2 linked regions of the Callithrix jacchus genome follow. The protein of the gene in region 1 interacts with the protein of each later gene in a pairwise test. Links are inferred from orthologs where the notes say so. Each region holds a gene or a part of one and is shown in the gene's direction. Other genes may lie near its edges. The genes, in order: NPAT and HINFP.

Evidence for each region.
Region 2: the proteins of NPAT (region 1) and HINFP interact in a two-hybrid assay, tested with the Homo sapiens proteins (2 studies listed by BioGRID). The link is inferred for Callithrix jacchus from reciprocal best matches to the Homo sapiens genes NPAT and HINFP.

What each region holds. Positions count from the first base shown.
Region 1 is NC_133511.1:8,023,778-8,032,947, reverse strand, and holds the start of NPAT (protein NPAT), read left to right. Parts: upstream 1-3,852; 5' UTR 3,853-3,975; coding exon 3,976-4,012; intron 4,013-9,170. UniProt on the Homo sapiens protein: Required for progression through the G1 and S phases of the cell cycle and for S phase entry. Activates transcription of the histone H2A, histone H2B, histone H3 and histone H4 genes in conjunction with MIZF.
Region 2 is NC_133511.1:18,778,285-18,787,536, forward strand, and holds the start of HINFP (histone H4 transcription factor), read left to right. Parts: upstream 1-4,034; 5' UTR 4,035-4,312; intron 4,313-9,252. UniProt on the Homo sapiens protein: Transcriptional repressor that binds to the consensus sequence 5'-CGGACGTT-3' and to the RB1 promoter. Transcriptional activator that promotes histone H4 gene transcription at the G1/S phase transition in conjunction with NPAT.

The sequences.
Region 1 (9,170 bases):
TGAAAAGGGTCTCAGTTTACAGTCTTAGGAATTACCTATGAAAAGGGTCCCAGTTTACAGTCTCAGAAATTACATATGAAAAGGGTTTCAGTTTACAGTCTTAAGAATGAAAAGGGGAAGTTTACAGTCTTAGGAATGAAAAGGGGAAGTTGATCTGAGATGCCTGGGTCTCCCTCTTCACTACGAAATAAATGCCCTGTCTTTGAACATTCTAGAGCTGTCTATCAGGGCTGGGTGCAGTGGCTCAGGGCTGTAATCTCAGCAATTTGGGAGGCTGAAGTGGGCAGATCATGAGGTCAGAAGTTTGAGACCAACCAGCCTGGCAAACATGATGAAACCCCATCTCTACTAAAAACACAAAAATTAGCCAGGTGTGGTGGCACATGCCTGTAATCCTAGCTACTGGGGAGGCTTCATTCAATCCCAGGAGGCAGAAGTTGCAGTAAGTCGATATAGCACAACTGCACTCCAGCCTGGGTGACAGAGTGAGACTGTCTCAAAAAAAAAAACCAGCATAATTCTCTTCTCCATTTGTATTCACTGGTCATTCTTCTGACCTCCCCCAACCCCCGCAACACTATTACAACCTTCCGTTTACTCTGCTGTAGATTACAGGTTGTTATTTGAGTACTTTTCATTTGATGATATACTTCCTGTGGACAAGTATTGTCACTTTTGCTTTCACATTCCTTATGGTTTTATCTAGAGATCTTCCTACTTCTTCAGTTTCAGTTTAAAGCCCTCTTGAGTCAACAAGGAAAATGAAACTGTTAATCTAACCAATGAAAACACCTTAGCAATATCCAAAGAACCATAAGAGATGACACCTTTATTCTTAAATATACTAAAGATTTGACACTTCCCAGAAGAGGCAGCCCTAAACTTGACTTTTTTTCCCCATGCTATGACTTCTTTGAACTTGTTTTTCTTCTCTTCAGTTTCTTAATGATTACTTTGAAGAAAACAAAATAGTTTAGCATTATCTACATAAACAGAAGATGTTCATTCACTGACACATGCAAACAATATTTACTACGTATAGCTAGACAAATAATGAACTAAACAGATACAAATCCTACCCTCATCGAGGTATATCTGGGCAGCAGAGTGACAATAAACAACTGATAAATCAATGCAGAATTCCAAATTGTGATGTATGCCTCTGAGGAAACAAAAATACAGTAATAAAAAATAACAGTAGAGAGGATCATTTTAGATGAGTTGTCAGGGAACATCTTGCACAGGAGGTTATAATAAAGCCAAGATGTGAACTAACTGGTGCCAATCAAAAAAAGGGGGATCAACACTTCAGGGAAGGAGACTAGCATTGCCAAAGGGTCCTATGATGTAAAAGTACACAGTATGTTGGAAGAACTGAAAGGTAGAGGAACTATTAAGTAGTCAACTAGAGTATGCGTGTCACCATATAAAGATGAAGTTCATTTATACATTAATTCAGAATATCTAGGTTCCACTCAAGGTTCAAATGAGAAGATACAGATTTCCTACTTCCTTAGGGCTCTGAATTGATAAATTCAATGTTTCTTTTTAGATCTCAACCAATTTGATCCCTTTGCAGAACCTGACAATGATGCTTATATCCCATCTTCCTAGAAATAACTCTGCCCTTAGCATGCCATTCTTTTCTAGTGCCAAAGAGTGTGGCATCTGCAATCAGACTATATTAGTTCAAATCCTGGTTCAGCCACTTACAAACTGTATCATCTAAAACAAGTTCACTCATCTCTTCAAACCTCAGTTTCTCAATGATAAAATGAAAAACGATACTAGTACCCACCTCGAAGAGCTCTTATAAGGACCCATATACATGCTTACAGTGCCTGAAACACAGCAAGTGTTCAATAAAGGTTAGCAATGATCATACTCCCTTCCTTTATCACTGTTTCGAAAGTCTCCTTCGATTGTTCTTCCACTCACACCTCAAAGAACAGCTTTGTCTTCTTGATCTCATCCATTCCTATAACCACAACTGTTGAAAACCCGCAAAATATATTTCATTCATGCCGGGTGCGGTGGCTCACGTCTATAATCACAGCACTTTGGGAGGCCGAGGCGGGTGGATCACAAGGTCAAGAGATCAAGACCATCCTGGTCAACAAGGGGAACCCCCTCTCTACTAAAAATACAAAAATTAGCTGGGCATGGTGGTGCGCGTCTGTAGTCCCAGCTACGCAGGAGGCTGAGGCAGGAGAATTGCCTGAACCCAGGAGGCGGAGGTTGCGGTGAGCCGAGATCCTGCCATTGCACTCCAGTCTGGGTAACAAGAGCGAAACTCCATCTCAAAAAAAAAAAAAAAAAAAAAAAAAAATATATATATATATATATATATATTTCATTCAATGCCAGAACTCACTCTGGAGCTTCAGGGTCCTACACTTTGTGCCTTTACACGCATTTTTTTCCTTCCATCTGGAAGGCTTCTATCATCTGCCAAGGTAACACTGCGAAGTCTCACCACAAACTGAATTGATGGTGAGTTTGTAAAGAGCCAGTCACTCCTCTACCATCACAGTACTCCTCTATCACACACATTAAAATCCATTGTAGTTGTACCTGGCAAAAATAGCAAGTAACGCTCACGAGTGCTCACCTCGGGTCAAGATTATCTCACTTATCTTCACAAGTTAGTTAGACAGTAGAGCGAGGCCACACGGAGGACAGTCAGACTAACTCCAGCCCTACGATTCCACAGCCCAAGCGTAACCTCGAAGCTAAAGTTGAAACATCAATAAATGCTCGCTGACTAAAAGTACTAATTATGAGAGAGAGAGATCAAAAGATGACTAGTCACGTCTCGTAGTTAAATCTGAACCCTAACGTGACACGAAGAAAGGATGCGCAGAAGGGAGGGTGCAATTCAGGGCACTTAAAAGGAGGTTATTGGCAAATCCGCTAGGAACTCAGAGAAAGGCCGAGAAAGATGGAGTGAGGACGAGCCAAGGGCCACTCCGGAGGGGTGCATGGGATTGGGTGTCTGGGGTGAAGACAGACTGGTTGGCACGCGGCTGAATTTTCCAACGCAGAAGCCGTTGCGTTGCTTCCCAGTCCCTAGTCCCTAGTCCCTACCGCTGCACTCGGAAGGTCAAAGTGGCATCAAAGGCGGCGGCGGCGGCGGCTGCAGCCCAGATCCCGGCTCCTCTGGCCTCCTCCCGCTGCCACAGCTTCTTTTCTCCGTTAGCCACGCAGGTACCTACTCCTGCTTCCGGTTCAAACCTGGCATGACCGCGCAGCGCCCACTTCTGGAGGAAGAAGCAAGGCCGAGCGGCGGCGGAGCAAGTTGTGCCCATGCGCGCCAAATATCACGCGGTCTCCCCGCTCAAAACACGCCCCCAAAACATTCGGCCCGTCGGAGCAAACGCGCCTGCGCCCTATCCACCAATGACCCACGACCTAGCGTTTGCGGCTCGCTCTCCGGCTCGGGCTCGCGGGCGAGGACCCACCCTCCTCGCCGTCCTCATCCCCGCCCCTCCTCGCCGTCCTCATCCCCGCCCCTCCTCGCCGTCCTCATCCCCGCCCCTCCTCGCCGTCCTCATCCCCGCCCCTCCTCGCCGTCCTCATCCCCGCCCCTCCTCGCCGTCCTCATCCCCGCCCCTCCTCGTCGTCCTCAGCCCCGCCCCTCCTCGTCGTCCTCAGCCCCGCCCCTCCTCGTCGTCCTCAGCCCCGCCCCTCCTCGTCGTCCTCAGCCCCGCCCCTCCTCGCCGTCCTCAGCCCCGCCCCTCCTAGTGTGAGGACGGAAATGACGACAGTTCTAAAGGCGAACGGAGGTGGGTTTCATTTCGGCGCCTTTCTTTCTCTGGCGGAAGCAATTGGCTGGCATGCAGCGAAAGAGGCGGGACAAATTGCCGCGGGTTCAGTGCCGCCACTGGAACCGGGAGATGCGGCGCCGGAGCTGTCGCTGCGTTTGCTCTAACCTGACTCTCGTTCTTTATTGTGGTTCCCGCTGCGGTTTTGATCATGTTGTTACCCTCGGATGTAGCCCGGCTGGTATTGGGTAAGCGCGGACGCGGGAAGGAGGGTATTGGACCTGGCTATGCCGGACGGAAGGACCTTTAAGGCCAGAGGTCTTCCCTGGGTGGGGAAGCTTCGGGGGGTTTGCCTCCTGGCTTACGAGTTGAGACTGGCGGTGGTTCTGGGCAGTTTAAGGCTCTTTGTATGTCGATGCTCCTGTCTTCGGAGGCTGCGTGGCAAGGGGAGGGACGAGGGGAAGCTCGGGCTGGAAACACCTGGGGCCGGATTCGGAGGGAAAGTCAGGCCTCCGCGCTTAATTAGGATCCCTGAAAGAGTTGTCTGCTTGACGGACGGCCTGCGTGTGCTTCAACCTTCTGAGCACTTTCGCTGGTCAGTGCTGGGACCAAAATAGGGACTTCCCCGGGCCCCCCGCCCCCATCTTTTAGGGAGACCTTCCTGGCGCCCTTCTAATAACCCGCCCTTATAACTACGGGTTTGGGAGTAGGGGTGATCTTCCTTCTCTGCCCTCCTCGCAGTACGTCGTCCAGTGTAGAGGTGTGAAATGCCAGTGGCATATTTTAAAACAGCAATTCTTATTTCTTTGATCAGCAAAAAATTTCGGAGGATTGCCTTTTAGTTGAGCGTTTTCTAGCCTTAGTTTTACCTTCATTTGAGGAGGGTGGTTTGTGGGTCACTTGTTTGTCAGGGTGTATTGTCTGTGTGAGAGAAGGGTTGTGTTGTTGTTTGTCCCCTGATAGAATAAAGGGGATTGTACCACAGGGGACGAGAGGTAAAGCTCAAAACCCGAGCCAGTGATTTACAGACATCGTATGCGACGTCTTAAAAGGCAGACATCTGTGATGAAGCCTCCCATAGTATTCACAGCCATTTGCTTCCGTTATTTTATTGTTCGGAAAATCCATTTGTCTTGTGCCTCTTTTAAATGCCCAGCGCTGTCCACAAAAATGCTATTTGGGCAGGGCTCTTGATAAACACATTTTGCAGGAAACGTTAAACGGAAATGGTTCCACCATCCATTTTTGAAGAAACTAATGACAAGTTTAAACTAATGTTTTGTTAATGTCTGATTAATCTTTTGCTTAGGAATTCTGAGTTTTGGCAGTTTGGTAATCTAGTTGAGTTTCGGTAACTAGTCTTAAACATGGTTTCTCAGCCTCAGTACTGTTAACATTTTGGGCCTCAAAATTCTTTATTATGGGGATCTATCTTCAAAATTCTTTATTATGGGAATCTATCCTGTACTTAAACATTGTAGGATGTTTAGTAGCATTCCTGGCTTCTATTTACTAGATTACAGTAGGACACTCATTCCCTACCCTTACCCAGTTGTGATGAGGAAAAATGTCTCTAGATACTGCTTGTAAGTCCCCTGGAGGGCAGAATCACTCCTAATTACAAAATCTTAAGAAAGCAGAATCATTTTCTAATCGGAATAATTCACATCAATTTGTGAGTATTCCTTTTCCATAACCCAGCCACTCTGCTGACTTCCTACTTTTAATCAGCCATGGTTTTGTCTTAAAAATCTTGGTCATTCACATTCCATTTCACTGCCACCAGTCCCGTAGTGTGCCCGCCGTTACTTCTCACTCGGACTTCTGTCATGGCTTCCCGGATACTTGTCCTTGCAATTCATTTTGTTTGCTGTGGTTACACATCTCCCTGAAGCATTCACACTGTACCTTCTATTCTGAAAGTTGAAATGATTTTGTTCTTACTAAAACTTTAAAGAGAGCAGGAGTAAACAGTACCAAAAAAAGCCTCCTTATGCCTAATGCTGTTACTTGGTCATTTGTCATTGCACAATTTTAAAAATATATATCGTGTATGTCTTTCTCATATCAGTTTTATTATTTACTCATGATTCTTCTATCTGCCCCCTCCCCATCTTCAGCTCCCCTTGTTATTGACCCCTTCATAATGGGTTTTTTTTCCAGCAAATCTTTGGGTGCCTGATAGTTCCAAACACTATGCCAATTGCTGAACATAGAGAAGTAAGTTTTCTGCCCTTAGTGTTCAGATAATTAGGTTTTTCTACTTTCAGACACACACACCCAAAACACTCTTCTGGACCTCTCGAAACATTAGACACCCATTAGACAGAACATTTTGTCTTATGTTGTGTGTCACCCTTTCACAAGTCCAGTTTATTCAGAGAACACAGTGAGTTCCACTTAGTTGCTGTTCTGTAAGTACCCTGTATCCTTCAGGATACTGCGCTCTGACTTTGCATCTCACTACTCCGCTTAAGTAGCCCTTGTTGCCCTGTTGGGATTTCACAAGATACCGTACAGGCCAGAATACATCAAAGTGTTTTTTATTGCCTCTGGGCAGTCAGTTGCGTTTTTATCCATTTATCCTTCAAGGTGCTCTGTAGAACTGATCCTCCCTACCTCTCCTGCTTGATCTCAACTTCTTAACATCTGCCATATGCTGCAGACATCCCAAACGAATTGAAGTTTCTCTGAATATTCTTAAATGAATTCTGCTCCTCTTTGCTACTACGCTTGCATTCAAGGTTCAAGTCACACCTGATCTCTGAAACCTCATTCACAGTTAGTACTTCTTAAATGTTGCCAGGGCATTGTCTTATCATGTCTTATTGTAGCTGTTTATTTACTTTTTTTGATAAAATATACATAACAAAATTCACCATTTTGGCCATTTTAAAATATGTAGTTCTTACAGCCCAAAACAAGGAGTTGTTGGTTGTTTGTTTTCAGCGTACAGTTCAGCAGCATTAAGTACATTGACAGTGTTCTTCGACCATCACCGCTGTTGGTTTCTGGAACTTTTTCATTTTCCCAATTTGAAACTTACTTTTTTTCTGGAGCCGCAGTGGCTCCGGCCAGTTGTCCTGGTGCTTGAGGAGGCGAGGCTATGAGTTCAAGGCCAACCTGAGCAACATAACAAGCTCTCATTGATTAGCAAAAAAAAAAAAGAAGAAACTTACTTTTTTTTTTTTAGTTTTATTCTGTAGTCTTATCCTTGGATTAATGGACAAGCTTCAAGAATTCTGGGAGCCTCCAAAACTATCATCTGTAAATGTTTTCTTTAATAGGTTTGTTACCTTCTGTATGATATAGCATGCATTCAAAAAATAGAAAACATTCTGAGTATTTAACATGGAAGGATTTAATGAGATAATTGGTTACACTGGTGAGAGAAAGGCTAAGATGCCCAGCAGCTTTCAACTAAGACATCTCAGTGGTTAGCAGCAATAGGAAGCCACTATACTAATCAGAAGGATAAGGAGAGAGGAAGCGACCAAGAGGCTGGGTTGACTGTATGGAACATGCAAGACTTGTCTGATGAGGGAATGGTAGTCATAGAGGAGACTCTACTGAGGCAGAATGGGAATGGGGGAAAAATGTGGCTACTTCCTTCTGCCCTCCAACTTCCCACCTGTGCTTTCTATTTACTGAGCCCAGCCAGAAGCAGGCTGACAGAAGAGCCCGAGAAACATTGTCTGTATAGAGTCAGGCTTTATGTCATACAGTAGAGAGCAACAGAAGGACAAGAACGAATTTGAGGTCAGACAGGACCAGAACTGACACACCGATGAGAGGTCAAGAGCTGCTGGTTCTGTTCACCTTTATATCACCAAAACATAGATATTTAATAAACACTTGCCAAGTATGGCTGTGATTATGACGTTCCTCTTAGTTTATGGAATAACATGTACTCATTGCTGTCTGAAGCTTTTCGCGAACCTTACCCATTTTGTGTTTTCTGTTGTATCTCCAACTGTTCCGCTTCATAAACTTCGTGCTTCATCCAAACTGGACATGTTCCCCAAATATGCTTGCACATATGCTTTCTGTCAACCTCTTTGGGATTCCCAGCCATCCTTCAGAACTCATCTGCGCCTTCAGACCTCATTTCCTCAAGCTTAGTAATGGTTTCTCCAGCCCCTCCCTTCCCATGAAGTAAGTCCGCTCTATTTTCTTACCACTTTCGTTTTGCGTTACAGTTATTTATATATATATATATATATATATATCTTCTATCTCCAAGTAAGTCATAACTTCATAGAGAGAAACCTTTTCTCTGTTATTTGTGGATCTAGTAATATAAGGCACCATAAGGTAAGGCTTCCTAAGAATTATTTGCATGCTTAAAGGACATTAAATGATTATTGTTTCTAGGGAAATAGTGGAATGTGTGAAGGAGGTGTTTTCCTATAGGGTGCTTTACTATCTCTTGCTTGCTTTAGACTGCTTTCTTTTTATCTTTTCCTCTCTGCAAGTAAGAAGAAAGAATACCCTTCAAATAGTTAGGATCTTATCTTTCCTTCTCTTTTTCAGTGGTGTTTCCCCTTCAGTTGAGTTACCCATTACTACCTCCACTTATAATAAAAGTAAGCTGAAAATAATATGTTAAGAAGAAGGAAACTCAGGCACACTTTCTTACCTATTCAGACCCCTTCGTCAGTAAGTTTACACAAAAAATACACTTCTTTTATCTAAACAGTAATAACTAATACTAGTTGAAGAGTAACTATTTGTATCATACTGATAAGAGATGATTAGTCCCTCATTTGTATTTTCTTTTTTATTTTATTTATTAATTTATTTTGAGATGGAGTTTCATTCTTGTTGCCCAGGCTGGAGTGTGACGGTACAATCTTGGCTCACTGCAACCTCTGCCTCCCAAGTTCAAATGATCCTCCTGCCTCAGCCTCCCAAGCAGCTGGTATTACAGGCACTCGCCACCACACGCCCTGCCCCCGCTGACTAATTTTTGTATTTTGAGTAGAGACAGGGTTTCACCGTGTTGGCCAGGCTGGTCTCGAACTCCTGGCCTGAGGTGATCCACCTGCCTCAGCTTCCCAAAATGCGGGGATTACAGGCATGAGTCACCGCACCTGGCCTGTATTTTCAGTGTATTTGGATTTTCAATCATCTAACATCTGAGATTTAGAATTAATTTGTACCGAAAATTTCCCATTACGTGATGGAGAGTTGGTTATAGTCAGATTCTTCATGATGATAATGAAACATTTTGTAGGCAGATAACTGGTTAATCATATATGTAGTAAGTCCTCATTTAATAGGTTCAATAGGTTCTTGAAAACGGCAACTTTAAGTAAAATGATGTGTAACTAATTCTACCATAGGCTAACTCATATACTAGAATTTCTTCGGCATATTTTTGGTCACAAAAATATCACCACATTT
Region 2 (9,252 bases), about 11 Mb from region 1:
GTCTGCCACAAACAAACCACGTGATCTTGAGCAGGCAACTTCTCCTTTGTGGACCTGAATTTCCTCATGTCTAAAATAAGGGTGACCTGGATAATCATTCAGGTGATATCCCGCCTTGATGTTCTATGACTAACTGCATCTCAAGGTGTTTAGGGCACATACCTTTGGGTAGATAGCACGTGGAAATTGTTAGTATTCCTCAGGCTCCTGTCCACACTACTCACCAAATATGAGATATCTGGGAAGAACGGAGGGTATAGATATTTGGTTATTTTTTTTTTTCAATTAAATAATTTGGTTGGGGCCAGGTGCAGTGGCTTATGCCTGTAATCCCAGCACTTTGGGAGGCTGAGGTGGGTGGATCATGAGGTCAGGAGATCAAGACCATCCTGGCCAACATGTGAAACGCTGTCTCTACTAAAAACAAAAAAATTAGCTAGGTGTGATGGTGCACGCTTGTAGTCCCAGCTACTTGGGAGGCTGAGGCAGGAGAATTGCTTGAACCCAGGAGGTGGAGATTGCAGTGACCCGAGATTGTGCTACTGCACACTACAGCCTGGGTGACAGTGCAAGACTCCACTTCAAAAAAAAAAAAAAAAAGAATTTAATTTTGTATATATGGGGGGACAAATGCAGGTGTCTCTTTTTTTTCTATTTTTTTATAATTTTTTATTGAGACAGGTCACTCCCATCACCTAGGAGGCTACTTCATTTATTAAATAACAATGAAAAGTCATTTGAATAATAATTTTGCAAAAGGTAATCAGTTTATAATTTTTCCATTCACTCTGGAGACTTACATGCAGGCTATTTCTTCCAGGCTACTGAAAACATGGTGGACGTTTCTGTGCCACTCACGGTAAAAACAATTCTTTTTTTTTTTTATAGTTTAAGTTCTGGGGTACATGTGCAGATCTTGCAGGAAGTGCAGGTTTCTTACATGCATATATTGCATGCATAGGGATGAACTCGGCTTTTTTTAGTGTATGCATCGCCCAAATAGTGAACATAGTACCCAATAGATAGTTTTTCAACCCTCACCTTCCTCCTACCTTCTCACATTTTATAGTCTCCAATGTCTATTATGCCACTCTGTATGTTCATATGTACCCATTATTTAGCTCCCACTTATAAGTGAGAATATACCATATTTGACTTATTGTTTCTGAGTTATATCACCAAGGATAATGGCCTCCAGTTCCAACCATGTTGCTGGAAAACACATACTTTCATTTTTTTATGGCGAGTAGTATTCCACTGTGTGTGTGTGCATACACACACAACATTTTCTTTTTTTTGAGACGGAGTTTCGCTCGTTACCCACACTGGACTGCAATGGCACGATCTCGGCTCACCACAACCTCCACCTCCTGGGTTCAAGCAATTCTTCTGCCTCAGCCCCCCTCCTGAGTACTCAGCTAATTTTTGTATTTTTAGTAGAGACAGGGTTTCACCTTGTTGACCAGGCTGGTCTCTATCTCTTGACCTCATGATCCACCTGCCTCAGCCTCCCAAAGTGCTGGGATTATAGGCGTGAGTCACCGCGCCCAGCCTTACAACATTTTCTTTATCCAATCCTCCATTGATGGACACATTGATTTGGCTGATTTTTCATAATGAAATGCTTATCTCTAGGTCATGAAAATTCAAAGAGATTTTCAAGCTGTTTCCCCTAATCTAAGAAATGTAACTCTTAGTGGTTCATAGAGGAACAGTTTGTTTACCAGTATGACACAACAACCAAACACAGTGAACTTGTGATTGCACAAGAAACTTGTTGATGGAAGAACAGGTATTCAGATTTCTACTGGACCTGGGAATTGAGTAGATGGTAACTGGATTCTGTATTGAGCTTCCAGTGCTGAGCTGCCCAGAGTTCCATGGAATCACATAATTTAGTGAAGAAGAGCCTGATCACATTTCAAAAATAGGGAAATTTAGATGAATGAAACATACTTTCATCAGCTTAATCCATTTCACACTTTCAGAAGAGATCCACAGCTTTTAATGAGTATGACTTACGCTCTCAGTTTTTATGGCAGCTTTTAAAGAACAAATCTCAGGAAATGTCTGAATTACCCAGCCAAAACTGTGGCTTGTTTTCAAGAGAAGCAGATTGAGATAGAAGTAAACTATGCTAGACAGCATGACACTGCTTTAAAATTTGGAAACATATATATGGATCCCAGAGCAATCCTGGAATTTTTGCTCTGTAACCTATGTTTGAGTTTACACAGCTCTGTGAATGAACTTTTTCTTCATGAAATTGCTAAATAAAGCTAAAAGCTATTTTCATTTTCAGTGGTGTAAATCTGAATTAAAATGAGGTTGGCACTTCATGACATACTACTATAACTGTATTTTTGAATGAATAAAGTTGGTAAGATATATTTTATTACTTTCGAATTACATATATATATGTGTGTTGAGACAGAGTCTCACCCTGTCGCCCAGGGTGGAATGCAATGGTGCAATCTTGGCTCACTGCAACCTCTGCCTCCATGGTTCAAATGATTCTACTGCCTCAGCTTCCCTCGAAACTGTGATGACAGTCGCCCACCACCATGCCCAGCTAATATTTGTATTTTTAGTAGAGATGGGTTTTCACCATGTTGGCCAGGCTGGTCTCAAGCTCCTAACCTTGTGATCCACCCGCCTCAACCTCCCAAAGTGCTGGGATTACAGGCGTGAGCCCCTGCGCCTGGCCCTGAATAAAATTTTTTTTTTTTTTTAGACAATGTCTCACTCTGTTGCCCAGGCTGGAGTGCAGTGGTGCGACCTCTGCTCACTGCAACCTCTGCCTCCCAGGTTCAAGCGATTCTCCTGCCACAGGCTCCCGAGTAGCTGGGACTATAGGTGCCCGCCACCATGCCCAGCTAATTTTTGTATTTTTAGTAGAGACAGGTTTTCGCCATGTTGGCCAGGCTGGTTTCAAACTCCTGACCTCATGATCCGCCCGCCTCGGTCTCCCAAAGTGCTGGGATTACAGGCATGAGCCACAACGCCTGCAAAACCGTATTTTAAAATAGGGACCAAGTTATAGCTCACTGTTGTTAAAACCAAACTTTATGCACAAGTATGACCTTACTATCTTAATGGCATTTTAAAATTTATTTCAGGGCCGGGTGCGGTGGCTCACGCCTGTAATCCTAGCACTGTGGGAGGCTGAAGTGGGTGGATCTCTTGACCTCATGATCCGCCCGTCTTTACGGGCGTGAGCCACCGCGCCTGGCCTGCAAAGATCCCTTTGAGTGCTCTGTGGAGAATGCTTTGGAAGGAAGCAAGTGTGCACGCAGCGGGACCTGTTAATGTATAAATCCTCCCTGGACCTCATCATTGGACAGGGGAGGTGGGGAGGCAGTGAAGATAAAGAAAAGGGGATGAATTTGAAAGATCCTGTTTTTAAAAAAGGTAGAATCCATAGAACTTGGCAATGGATTGGATGTGATCAGTGAGAGAGAGGAATCAGTGATGACTGCCAGGTTTCTGACCTGAACAAATGGATGGATGAAGGGAAGCCGAGTTTGGGGGGAAAGAGAAGCAAACGTATAATACCAACATTTAAGACATATGACTAAGAAGCTTAAGGAAAGGGTAGAACCGTAGAACCTTCAGTCTGTCCCTAGCGGGGCCGATAGCGCTGGGCAGCCTCCCACGCCTTTTCCTCCGGGAGGCCCACGCAACCAGCGAACTCAAGGCGAAGAACCACGTGAAGGAGACCCCACTAGGCACCAATCGCGGGCCCTGCGCATGCCCATTGAGTCCCGGAGGCCGAGTCTGCGCAGTTAGGGGAACTCTGGCCCGTAGGCTCCCCGCCTGTGCGTCGCCCCGAGCGCCTAGGCGCTGTCAAGCGCTACCTTTTTCACGTATCCGGTCGCCCCTCAGTCAACCCGGGACGCCGAGCCCCACCCACCGTTCCCGCCCCTTCCGTGTTTTGGTGCACACGGGTTCCGCCAGACCCAGCTGCCATTGGTTGTCAGTCGGATCCGACAGCGACGATTGGCTTTCCTTGACCGTCCCTCAAGAGCCTTCCCGGAGATTGAAGTAGGAGAAGAGCTGAGGAGACCCGGAGCCGACGGACGGTAAGCTGGGACGTGTGCTCTGCAGGGGCTAGCAGGAGCCCAAGCTCTTCCCGAGCCACCTCGGCGAGTCTTCTTGCCGCTTGGCCACTCTGGTCTGCCCTGGTCTTTCCCCTCACCCCGACTCCAACCTCCCTGCTTTCTAGTGTAGGGGCTTCGCTGCGGCTGAGACTCGGTCGCCGCCACGCCTTAGAGGAAGGATTCCGGGAAGCTTGCGGGACTGCGAGTGACAGGTTTTGCCCAACGAGACGGTCTCCTTCCTTCTGTCCGAATTCTACCTTTCCTTCGAGGCGTGGTGCGGGACCCACAGCTTAGGGGAGCCTTCCTTCTCGCCTGACCGGGGGTGGGGGGGTGTCGGGGGGCAGGTTTCTCTCTGTCCTGGTCTCCCTCAACGGGTACTTTGCTTTGGTCGTTGTCTTCACATATCAGTCATATCTTTTTGGCCAAATTGTGAGTTCTTAGGCGTTTGGGACCTGAGCCCTCTTTTTATTGAATACTAGAGTTCATTCATGGTCTTGCGTTACAGTATATGCTCTCTTTTTTATTTTTTTGAGACGGAGTTTCGCTCTTGTTACCCAGGCTGGAGTGCAATGGCCCGATCTCGGCTCACCGCAACCTCCGCCTCCTGGGTTCAGGCAATTCCCCTGCCTCAGCCTCCCGAGTAGCTGGGATTACAGGCGCGCGCCACCGTGCCCAGCTAATTTTTTGTATTTTTAGTAGAGACGTGGGTTTCACCATGTTGACCAGGATGGTCTCGATCTCTTGACCTCGTGATCCACCCGCCTCGGCCTCCCAAAGCAGTATATGCTCTCTTAAGTCTTAAGAGGGTAAAGTGATGATCATGCCCCTATCTCCTCAGAGTAGAAACTAACGGCGCAGAAAGAGATATTAAAGAAGGCAAGAGGACAGTGAGAGAGAGATAGGGAGCTTTGCCTAGGTTTCACATCATTCTATATCTCCAGGTAGCTGGCCTCCGTGGTCTTACCCACCAGTCTAACAGTAGGTGTTTGTTTAGAATATTTGTGCTTGGCACAGTGTAGGGACACAGGCCGTTCTGATATGGTTTCTTTTGAGAAGCTTCTGGTTGTCCAATTGGGTAAGTGAGACTACAATATATAAAACGACATGGCAATATAAAAATAGGGTTGGGCCGGGCGCAGTGGCTCACGCCTGTAATCCCAGCACTTTGGGAAGCTGAGGCGGGTGGATCACGAGGTCAAGAGATCGAGACCATCCCGGTAAACATGGTGAAACCCCGTCTGTACTAAAAATACAAAAAATTAGCTGGGCACGGTGGCACGTGCCTGTAATCCCAGCTACTCAGGAGGCTGAGGCAGGAGAATTGCCTGAACCCAGGGGGCAGAGGTTGCGGTGAGCCGAGATCGGGCCATTGCACTCCAGCCTGGGTAACAAGAGCGAAACTCCGTCTCAAAAAAAAAAAAAAAAAAAAAATAAGGTTGAGGTTTTATGGTGTCGCCTGTGCCAGCCATAGAACCAAGGAGCAAGAGTAGATTCAGAAATAAGGTAGTTTAGAAAGGCTTCCTGGAATGTGATTATCTCCTGATATTTACTGAGTGCTTGGAGTGTACAAAGCTCTGTGCTGAATCAGAATGAGAAGTGAATGAGTGATGGCCACTGTCCTGAGAAACTCCTAGTCTAGGGGAAACAAATTTCATTTCATTGATAGCGAAGATGTGTATAGATACTGTGGGCAGGAGATAGGATGTGCCAGCTGTACCTGGATGCATCGGGAAAGGGGTCATCAGAGAGGACTTTTGGGTTTGAAGGGCGAATAGGCCTGGCGCAGTGGCTCACACCTGTAATCCCAGCACTTTGTGAGGCCGAGGCAGGCGGATCACTTGAGGTCAGGAGTTTGAGACCAGCCCGGCCAACATGGTGAGACCCCCATCTCTATTAATATTACAAAAATTAGCTGGTCATGGTGGCATGTGCCTGTAGTCCCCGCTGTAATACTTTGGAGACTAAGTCACGAGAATCACTTGAACATTGGGAGATGGAGTTTGCATTGATCCCAGATCGCACTACTACACTCTAGCCTGAGGGACAGAGCAAGACTCTGTCTCAAAAAAAAAAAAAAGTTGCGTAGGCAGAGAGTTTTAGGGGAATGTAGAGTATTCAGAGACAAAGATGACTTAATCAGAGGAAGAGAGAATGAAGTATGGGTGAGGAAGCCAGACAGCATCATCGTGTGGGAGAAAGAGCCTGATCTTTGGATTGGAATGAGGGTGCTCTTACATCAGATGAAGTGTAGAGAGGACGCACCACAGGGCTGACACACCATAGCCTCTCAATAGATGTTCATTTTTCTACTTAGACCTGGAGAATTGAGACCCCTTTGAGAAGGGCTTTCATACTGTAGGTGATATACAGTCAGAGGCGGTGTGGGATTTTATGTCTTTTTTTTTTTTTTGAGATGGAGTTTTGCTCTCCTTGCTAAGGCTGGAATGCAATGGCACCATCTTGGCTCACTGCAACGTCCACCTCCTGGGTTCAAGCAGTTCTCCTGCCTCAGCCTCCTGAGTAGGTGGGATTACAGGTGTGTGCCACCACACTTGGCTAATTTTGTATTTTTAGTAGAGATGAGGTTTCTCCATGTTAGGCTGGTCTTGAACTCCCAACCTCAGGTGTTCTGCCCACCTCGGCCTCCCAAAGTGCTGGGATTACAGGCATGAGCCACTGTGTCTGTTTTGTTTTTGTTTTTGTTTAGACAGGGTCTGGCTCTGCCATCCAGGATGGAATACAATGGTGCGATCTTGGCTCACTGCAACCTTTGCCTCCTGGGCTCTAGCTATCCTCCCGCCTCAGTCTCCCGAGTAGCTGGGACTATAGGTGCGTGCTACTATACCTGACTGATTTTTGTATTTTTAGTAGAGACAGAGTTTTGCCATGTTGTCCAGGCTGGTACAAACTCCTGAACGCAAGTCATCTCCTCGCCTTGGCCTCCCAAAGTGCTGGGATTGTGAGCCACTGCGCTTGGCCCAGCAGTCAGTATTTGTAATAGGATTCACTGTTAGTCTGTGAGCAGCTCAGCAACCCCGTGTACACCCCAGAGTGGTAAGGGTGACTGGATACTTCTCTGAGGAGGAGAAAAGACTATGTAGGCATAATAGGTATAGTAGGTTCAGAAAAGCCTGTACTGGAGAAATGAAAGATCTTCTGTTTTTTTATATTTTCTGTCTTTTTCCTTTTAGTATTCAATAAGGCCTTTTTCAGAGTTCCCACCTCTCTCAGGTTGGCTAGAGAGAGCAACTTGGTGGGGTCAGCAAGAATCAGTGAGAATTTCTGAGGAGAAGTGACACTCAGGAGACAGAGCCAAGGCATCTTAGTGTCCTCTCTCTACCAGAAGTTTTGCTTGCAATGTCACCCTCTGTTCTGTGTTTTGTTTATTCTATTATTGTTATTCAAAGTATGCTTCTGAAACTGCTTATATCAGAACCGGGGTGCTGACTAAAAAGGGCAGATTTCTAGGTTAACTGCTGCCCTCCTAAATCCAAACTTCTCTGGCAGGTGCTGGATAACTCTACATTTGTCTGCAGATCTGTAATCCCAGCACTGTGGGAGGCCGAGGCGGGTGGATCACCTGAGGTCAGGGGTTTGAGACCACCCTGGTCATCTTGATGAAATCCCATCGCTACTAAAAATAAAAGAATTCGCTAGATGTGGTGGCATGCCTGTAATCCCAGCTACTCAGGAGGCTGAGGCAGGAGAGTCGGTTGAACCCGCGAGGAGGAGGTTGCAGTGAGCCAAGATTGCACCCCTGCACTCTAGCCTGGGTGACAGAGGGAGACTCTGTCTCAAAAAATAAAAATAAAATAAAATTGAGAACCTTTAGGTTTTGTTTTGTTTTGTTTTGAGACAAAATCTCACTCTGTTGCCCAGGCTGGTGTATGGTGGCACGATCTTGACTCATTGCAGCCTCTGCCTCCCAGGTTCAAGTGATTCTCCTGCCTCAGCCTCCCAAGTAGCTGGGATTACAGGCTTATGCCACCATGCCTGGCTAATTTTTGTATTTTTAGTAGAGATAAGGCAGGGTTTCACCATGTTGGCCAGACTGGTCTCGAACTCCTAACCTCAGATGATCCACCCACCTTGGCCTCCCAGAATGCTGTGATTGTATGACACTTTGAAAGTCTTGTCAGGGGACTTACGATTCAGTAAGAAATAAGGAGCTTCTGGGTTCATCTGCAGACTACATGGAGTAGAAAGAGTACAAACTCTAGAGTCAGCCCAATATGGCCCTACCATTACCACTAGTGTTGCCATGAGCAAGTCACTTGATCTCTGGAACTTCAGTTGTTTATCTATAAATGATGTTAAAAATAGCACCTACCAGCTGGGCGAGGTGGCTCATGACTGTAATCCCAGCACTCTGGGAGGCAGAGGCGGGTGAATCACCTGAGGTCAGGAGTTCGAGACTAGCCTGGCCAATATGAGGAAACCCTGTCTCTACAAAAAATACAAAAATTAGGCTGGGCGTGGTGGCTCATGCCTATAATCCCAGCACTTTGGGAGGCCGAGGTGGGTGAATCACGAGGTCAAGAGATCGAGACCATCCTGGTCAACAAGGTGAAACCCCGTCTCTACTAAAAATACAAAAATTAGCTGGGCATGGTGGTGCTTGCCTATAGTCCCAGCTACTCGGGAGGCTGAGGCAGGAGAATTGCTTGAACCCAGAAGGTGGAGGTTGCGGTGAGCCGAGATCGTGCCATTGTACTCCGTCTGGGTAACAACAGCGAAATTCCATCTCAAAAAAAAAAATACAAAAATTAGCGTGGCATGGTGGTGGGTACCTGTAATCCCAGCTACTCGAGAGGCTGAGGCAGGAGAATTGCCTGAACCCGGGAGGCAGAGGTTGCAGTGAGCCGAGATCGAACCATTACACTTTAGCCTGGGAGATAAGAGCAAAACTCAGTCTCAAAAAAAAGCGAAATAAATAAATAAATAAATAAAAGCACCTACCTCAAAGGATGGTGTTGGTAATTAAATGACATAATGCAAATAAAATGCTTACTGTGGTGCTTGATATATAGTAAGTGTGAAATTAAAAACAAAAAGTTGTATCATCTTCAGAATGTTCAGAAGTTAAGAGTTAAGTTCTTGACCAAGGTCATACCACTAGTAGGTAGTAGACAATAGAGCCAGGATTTGAACT